2 linked regions of the Ovis aries genome follow. The protein of the gene in region 1 purifies or fractionates together with the protein of each later gene. This does not show direct contact. Links are inferred from orthologs where the notes say so. Each region holds a gene or a part of one and is shown on either strand. Other genes may lie near its edges.

Evidence for each region.
Region 2: the proteins of NOP58 (region 1) and NUFIP1 purify together in Homo sapiens (co-immunoprecipitation; 3 studies listed by BioGRID and IntAct, with this or other methods). This does not show direct contact. The link is inferred for Ovis aries from reciprocal best matches to the Homo sapiens genes NOP58 and NUFIP1.

The regions. Positions count from the first base shown.
Region 1 is NC_056055.1:204,588,152-204,591,651, forward strand, and holds part of NOP58 (nucleolar protein 58), read left to right. Parts: intron 1-730; coding exon 731-865; intron 866-1,882; coding exon 1,883-2,028; intron 2,029-2,081; exon of another isoform or gene 2,082-2,163; intron 2,164-2,591; coding exon 2,592-2,718; intron 2,719-2,861; exon of another isoform or gene 2,862-2,945; intron 2,946-3,500. UniProt on the Homo sapiens protein: Required for the biogenesis of box C/D snoRNAs such as U3, U8 and U14 snoRNAs. Part of the small subunit (SSU) processome, first precursor of the small eukaryotic ribosomal subunit.
Region 2 is NC_056063.1:15,532,322-15,535,821, reverse strand, and holds part of NUFIP1 (FMR1-interacting protein NUFIP1), read left to right. Parts: intron 1-89; coding exon 90-188; intron 189-792; coding exon 793-855; intron 856-1,503; coding exon 1,504-1,580; intron 1,581-3,500. UniProt on the Homo sapiens protein: Binds RNA.

The sequences.
Region 1 (3,500 bases):
GTTGAGGAAGAAAAAGACCAGCTAGAAGTTTAGTAAGTAAATTGGGAAATGCAGAATCAAAAATTGGAAAACTAATTATAATTTGACTACTTGGGGATAATAGGAATTACGCTACACTATTAATGTAAGCTGATTGATCTTTTTCCATGAAAAATGATAAAACCTTAAGATACGGGTGTGGGGTTTTTTTTGCTTTATGTATGTAATAAATCATTCGGTGATTTTTGGACATCAAAGTCTCAACAGTTTCCAGTTTTAAACATTTCTTTAAATAGCAATTGTATTTCTAGGTGTGTATGCCCCCCCAAACTGAAAGGAGTTAGTCAGTTACTTAAGCAGCTATGTTCATAGCATCATGATTCAGCTAAAGGGCAGAAACAATCCAGATACCTATTAACAGATGAAGGGATAAACAAAGTGGTATACAATGGAATATTATTTATCCTTACAAGTTCTAATATATGGTACAACATAGATGAATTTTGAAAACACTGTGCTATGGTGAAATAGACTACTTTCAAGAAGACAAATACAGTGTGATTCCCCTTATGAGGTACTTAGAATAGGCAAATTCATAGAGGGGATAAAAGAGAGGCTGGAGTGGTGAGAATGAGGAGTAATTATTTCATGGGTACAGAGTTTCTGTTTGGGATGATGGACTATTTCATCACAAGTGTTTTTTAAAACCCTTTTAAGTTCTTGTTTTCTTTTTTGTTTTAATCTGCTGCAGCCCTGTTAGATGACTTAGATAAAGAACTAAACAACTACATTATGCGGTGTAGAGAATGGTATGGCTGGCATTTCCCTGAGTTAGGAAAAATTATTTCGGATAATTTGACATACTGCAAGTGTTTACAGAAAGTTGGTGAGTAACTTTATCCTTTAAGGTATTGAAAATAGTGATTTATTTAAATCCTAAAACATGAGTTACTGGTTTTTTTATTCTCTTCCCAGAGTTTTTAGTCTTGTGTGTTTGAGGAGTATATCCATATTAACATCTGCTAGATTTCAGAAACAGAATTTTATTTCAGTGGCCTGTACAGTAGAGGACATCGTTCTCTAATTTGGTTTTCCTTGGGCTTCTTTTTTTAAAAAAAATTTGGAGTATAGGTGGCTTAGTGGTGAAGAATCTGTCTGCCAGTGCAAGAAACACAGGAGACCTGGTTTGAATCCCTGGGCAAGGAAGATACCCTGGAGGAGGAAATGGCAACCCAATCTAGTATTCTTGCCTTGGAAATTCCATGGACAGAGGAGCCTGGCAGGCTATAGTCCATAGGGTCACAAAGGATGTGACTAAGCACACACACTCATTGTGTTACTTTTTTCTGTACAGCACAGTGAATCAGTTGTGTATACATCTCCACTCTTTAGACTTTTTCCATGTAGGTCATTCCAGAGTATTGAGTAGTTTTCTGTCCTATGTAGCAGGTTCTTACTAGTAATCTGTTTTATATATCATAGTGTGTATATGTTGGTCCCAATTTATCTGCTCCCCACTCCCCTGAACTGGCTTCTTACAATGATTGTGTCTCACTGAAGTTGCCGTTAATAAGGACAACTGTGTGACTGGGAAGTATCCTGAAATACATTAATAGTGGTTAATATTAAAAATAGTATTGCTATCTATACTCAATATTAAATTGTATACTATTACTATAATAATAATATAGTAGAGGAACCTGAGGACTGTTCATAAAATGAGTTAATCTCTAAAATCAAGCCCTTACATGAGTAAAGTTACTTGGTCAAACTTGTTTACTTTTTGTTTTGTTCAGGCATCCCTTTCATTGGCTTATCTCTACTTTTTCTTTTGACTGTTTGGTGGATTTTATATAATTTACTGAAGAGTGATTCTCCCTCATCCTTTGCAAACATTCCATAGGCGACAGGAAGAATTATGCCTCAGCTCAACTTTCTGAATTACTGCCAGAGGAGGTTGAAGCTGAAGTGAAAGCGGCAGCAGAGATATCTATGGGAACCGAAGTTTCGGAAGAAGATATTTGCAACATTCTGCACCTTTGCACTCAGGTACACTATGCACATAGGGAAATTCGTGGTGGTGGTACCAGCTCTGTAATTTCTGATGGCAGTGATGATTTTTAAATGTATTGTTCACCTGATAAATATGAGGGTGTTCAGTCACTACCTCATCTGATGCCGTCTTGACTTACAAACTTGCAGGGAGAAAAATATCTTAAAATGAGGTTAAAGGAGTACTGTCTAGTTAATTTCTATTGTTAGCAGTATCTGAATGTGTATAGCCTGTAATTTTTACCCCTCATTTGAAGATAGCTATATGACAATCACAGAGGATGACACAAATGTCTAGTCTTTAGAGTTTTTTTAAACAAATGTTGATTAACATTTTTAAGCAGTGTATTAGGTTTACATATATTGCTTAATTTTTAAATATTAAAATTTCACAACAGCCGTTTTATAGAAAACTGAGGTAAAGGATGGCTAATTTTCCTGGGATTGTACAACTAACTGCTCTGTGATAATTTGGGGCTCTGATGTTTTAGACATGTGAATTTTACACTGCTTTTACTCTTAAACTATTTATGATTTACTCATTTTGTTTCTTAAACTAGGTGATTGAAATCTCTGAATATAGAACCCAGCTTTATGAATATCTGCAAAATCGAATGATGGCCATTGCACCCAATGTTACAGTCATGGTTGGGGAATTAGTTGGAGCACGACTTATTGCTCATGCAGGTGATGATTTTAATATAATTTGTAAACATGGGTATTGAGAGTTGTTTTCTAGGTAGGATCTTATTTTCTTTTAAACTGGAGTTTAAAGATAAATCTGGGTAATAAAAAGAAGTGAATGTTTATGTGCGAGGACTAAGGACCAAGTGTTCAATGATGATTTTTATTTGTATGCCTGATTTCCTTTCGGATAGTGAAGGCATCTTTAGTCACTACCTCTTCTGAGACACTGGTGGTCCATTGTCAGAAGTTTGTTTTGGTTAATTAGAGTAATTGGATGAATACAGGAGGATGAAATCAGGTTTACCTCATTTTACTGTGCTTCACAGATACTTCGTTTTTTAAATTCATAGTTTGTGTCAGCCCTGTGTAGAACAAGTCCATTGACATCATTTTTCCAACACCACAGTCTGTCGCATTTTGGTGATTCCCACAATATTTCTAACTTTTCCATTCTTATATTTGTAATGTTGGTCTTTGGTCAGTGATCTTTGATGTTACTACTACAACTTCCTGAAGGTTCAGATGATGTTTAACATGTTTTTAAAAGTAAAGCATTTATAAATTGAGGTATGTACATTGTTTTTCCAGACAATGCTATTTCATACTAAGTAGATTACCCATAAGAATATAACTTAAAAAAAAAAAAAAGAATATAACTTCAATAAGCACTGGGAAACAAGAATTCGTATACTTAGTTTATTGCAACACTTGCTTTATTGTGGTAATTGGGAATGAAATCCACTATATCTTGATTGTGCAGGTATATACTATTGATTGAGAAT
Region 2 (3,500 bases), on another chromosome or scaffold:
AAGAGTATGTGAAAAATCAAAGCCTACATATTTTTACTGCTGATTGAGTTCTCAGCCAAAGCCTAATGCTTCTTCATTTTTATTTGCAGAAAAGAAAGGAACCCGTTTTTCACTATTTTTGTGATACCTGTGATCGTGGTTTTAAAAATCAAGAAAAGTATGATAAACACATGTCCGAACATACGAAAGTAGGTTTCTTGGTTATCCTGATTTTATTTAGCAAAATGGGTGTATTTGGTAGAAATTCTGAGCTTTCTTCCTGTAAAAGTGTAGAGTTATCATAGGAATGTTGTTTGAAGACAAGTTGAGACAGTAACCCTGGGATTTGCAGTTTGAGGATGGGGAGCTTCCACTTCAGGAGTCGGTGAGATGGCAGCAGAGGAGAAGGGAGGGCTGGCAGCTGTTGAGAAGTAAAAAAAGCTAGGAAGTTCTTAGTTAGGTAAGTGCTCTTCAGTTTGTAGGAGTCATGCTTGACTTTAGGAAATAAGAGCATTTTACAACATTGCTGATGTCCTGCGTTCACTCAAATGGAGAAGTGAATGCTATGTATTATTGTACTATATACCTTTAGAGGGCAACTTGGTTTTGGAGTGAGTTTTGTCTTGCTATTGACTGAACTGAACTGAACTGATTGTTGTAAGTATTCACAGATAATACCACATAGACAGGATACTAGGTAATAATGCCAGAATATGTCTGTATGTATAGTAGAAGGGTATGTTTTTTATGGGAAATGTTGAATTGAATCTTTTTTTTTTCCTTAAAAAAAAACAAAAACAAAACTATGTGCAGTGCCCTGAGGTAGATTGCTCTTTTAGTGCACATGAGAAGATTGTCCAGTTCCATTGGAGGAATGTAAGTTGTTTTTTTTTTTTTTTGATACACGCTCTTTTTATTTCATTGATCTGTTATCTTCATAGCACTTTATCTACATAGCCTAATAATAAGCAACATTCATGAGCCTTTGTACTTGATAAGGCATTTTTGTAATCCATTATTCAGTGTCATGATCCACTGTGGACTAGATAAATCTTGGCCCTGTTTAAAAGATTTATAAAATGATTTGCCCAGGGCCTCAGAACTCATTCTTGCACTTGGGTTTCTTAGCTGCAAATTCTGTGCTTGTTTTACTAAACTGTGCTGTTTCAGATTGTTTTGTGTACTCATCATTTCTCTAGCTAACTCCCTCAACTATAGTCGGTCAGTCATATGAGTATCTAATATTACTCAAGAAATTGATGACATTTGCTTTACAACCAAGATTATATCATGGCTTGCTTTTCTTTTTAATCAATAGCACTAAAGACATGAAAAAAATTACTCTCTTTTCTTTAAAGGAAAAGTCATAATAAGGATAGAGAAAATCTGCTTGCTTAGTTTAAAAATTCTCTGCTAGTAAATGTACTGTTGGGTACAGCGTTTTCATTATCTCCTATAATTCTTGAGATTTAGTCAAAAACATACAGTATGCTTCCTGATATTCAGCAGGCCTTTTCCCCTTAGATGCATGCTCCTGGTATGAAGAAAATCAAGTTAGACACTCCAGAGGAGATTGCAAGATGGAGGGAAGAAAGAAGAAAGTGAGTAAAGAGTTCAGAACTTGTGCAGCAACTTTGTTTTACCCTGGCAGGGCTGAGTACTTCAAAATAAAGACCATCTGGCCCTAAGGAACAATTTGAAAAAGGAAATTTGGTCTTTTATAACATTGTAGATGTTCAGCTCAAAATGCAATGGCACCCCACTCTAGTACTCTTGCCTGGAAAATCCCATGGATGGAGGAGCTTGGTGGGCTGCAGTCCATGGGGTCGCTGAGGTTTGGACACGACTCAGTGACTTCACTTTCACTTTTCACTTTCATGCATTGGAGAAGGAAATGGCAACCCACTCCAGTGTTCTTGCCTGGAGAATCCCAGGGATGGCGGAGCCTGGTGGGCTGCCGTCTATGGGGTCGCACAGAGTCGGACACGACTGAAGTGACTTAGCAGCAGCAGCAGCTCAAAATGGCCAGTCCTAACTTTTGTTGTTATTCTTCAGAATTGGCTTACAGTGACTTTGAGAGTATTGTTACTTGATGTATGATAATCACACAATTTTTATTGTAGTTTTGATTCATTGCATTCCCTTATAATCTTGCTGCTAGGAAATGGGACTGTCAACTGTATCATATGAGGCTATTATGAAATGTAGCTTTTGGTAGACCTAATAGAAACTCTTGATAAATAACTGATGTCATAATGGGACTTTGCTCTTTGAGGGGAGTCACTATGTGCCCCCTCAGTTTGATGTTCAATACAAGGGAGTGATGGGTGGTGCTATTTAAAAAAAAAAAAAAGGCGTAATATTTTGCTATGTTTATTGTTTTGATTATTGTTTAAAAAGTTGTTGAATGCTTGCAGTATGCTAGGCAGAGGGAGTATAGTGACAGAATAATACAAATGCCTGTCCTCATTTATAAAAAGACAGGGGACTTCCCTGGCAGTCCAGTAGTTAAGATTCCACGATCCCAATGCAGGCGTCATGGGTTCGATCCTGTTTGGGGAACTAAGATCCGGCATGCCACGTGGCATGGCCTTAAAAAAAAAAAAAAAAAGCAAAGACAAGAAATATTTTCCTGTAATTAAAGTCTTAAGAAATTTGAGCCTTACCATGATGACCTATAGTTTTATGCTTACCAGGGAGGAAAGCTTAGTAGGAATCTAATCAGAAATGGCAACCCACTCCAGTATTCTTGCCTGGAGAATCCCATGGACAGAGGAGACGGGCTGGCTACGGTTCATGGGGTCGCAAAGGGTTGGACATGACTGAAGCAACTTAACCACCATCTCCATCCGGAATCTACCAGTGAAAAATCCCATGAAGATGCTATTATATTGTCTTCTCAGGAAGGACCAGGATACCTCATCCTGAAGCACAAGACCAAATCAGAACTATTAGGGGGTGATCAGCTGTACTTTTAGGTCAATAGCTGTTTTTCTGAAATTAAAAAATGAGAGCTTGAGATAGAAGGTTGTTCTTTACTGCTGTTTAGTTGCTAAGTCGTGTCCACCTCTTTTGTGACCCCATGGACTGTAGCCTGCCAGGCTCCTCTGTCCATGGGATTCTCCAGGCAAGAATACTGGAGTGGGTTGCCATTTCCTTCTCCAGGGATCTTCCCGACCCAGGGCTTGAACCTGCGTCTGCTGCATCCCCTGCACTCTTTACCGCCGAGCCACCAGGGAACCCCTAGTTAGGAAGAGTTATCCTCAAAGGTCAAGATGCTTAAAACCTTGACCAGCTGATACAGCTTGCTCTTAGTTCAGCTTAAAGTTTTCAACTTTAATCCACTGTGCGTATGCCTATGTAGTGCTATGTCAGATGTTACACTGTTATGTGAAAAAGTGAGTTACTGCCCTTCAAAGCTTTACAGGTAATTCTGAGGAAAACCAGCAAAAAGATTTAGGACCAACTGAGAACAAATAGCTTTCAGTAAACGCATGTATGCTGCTGCTGCTACTGCTAAG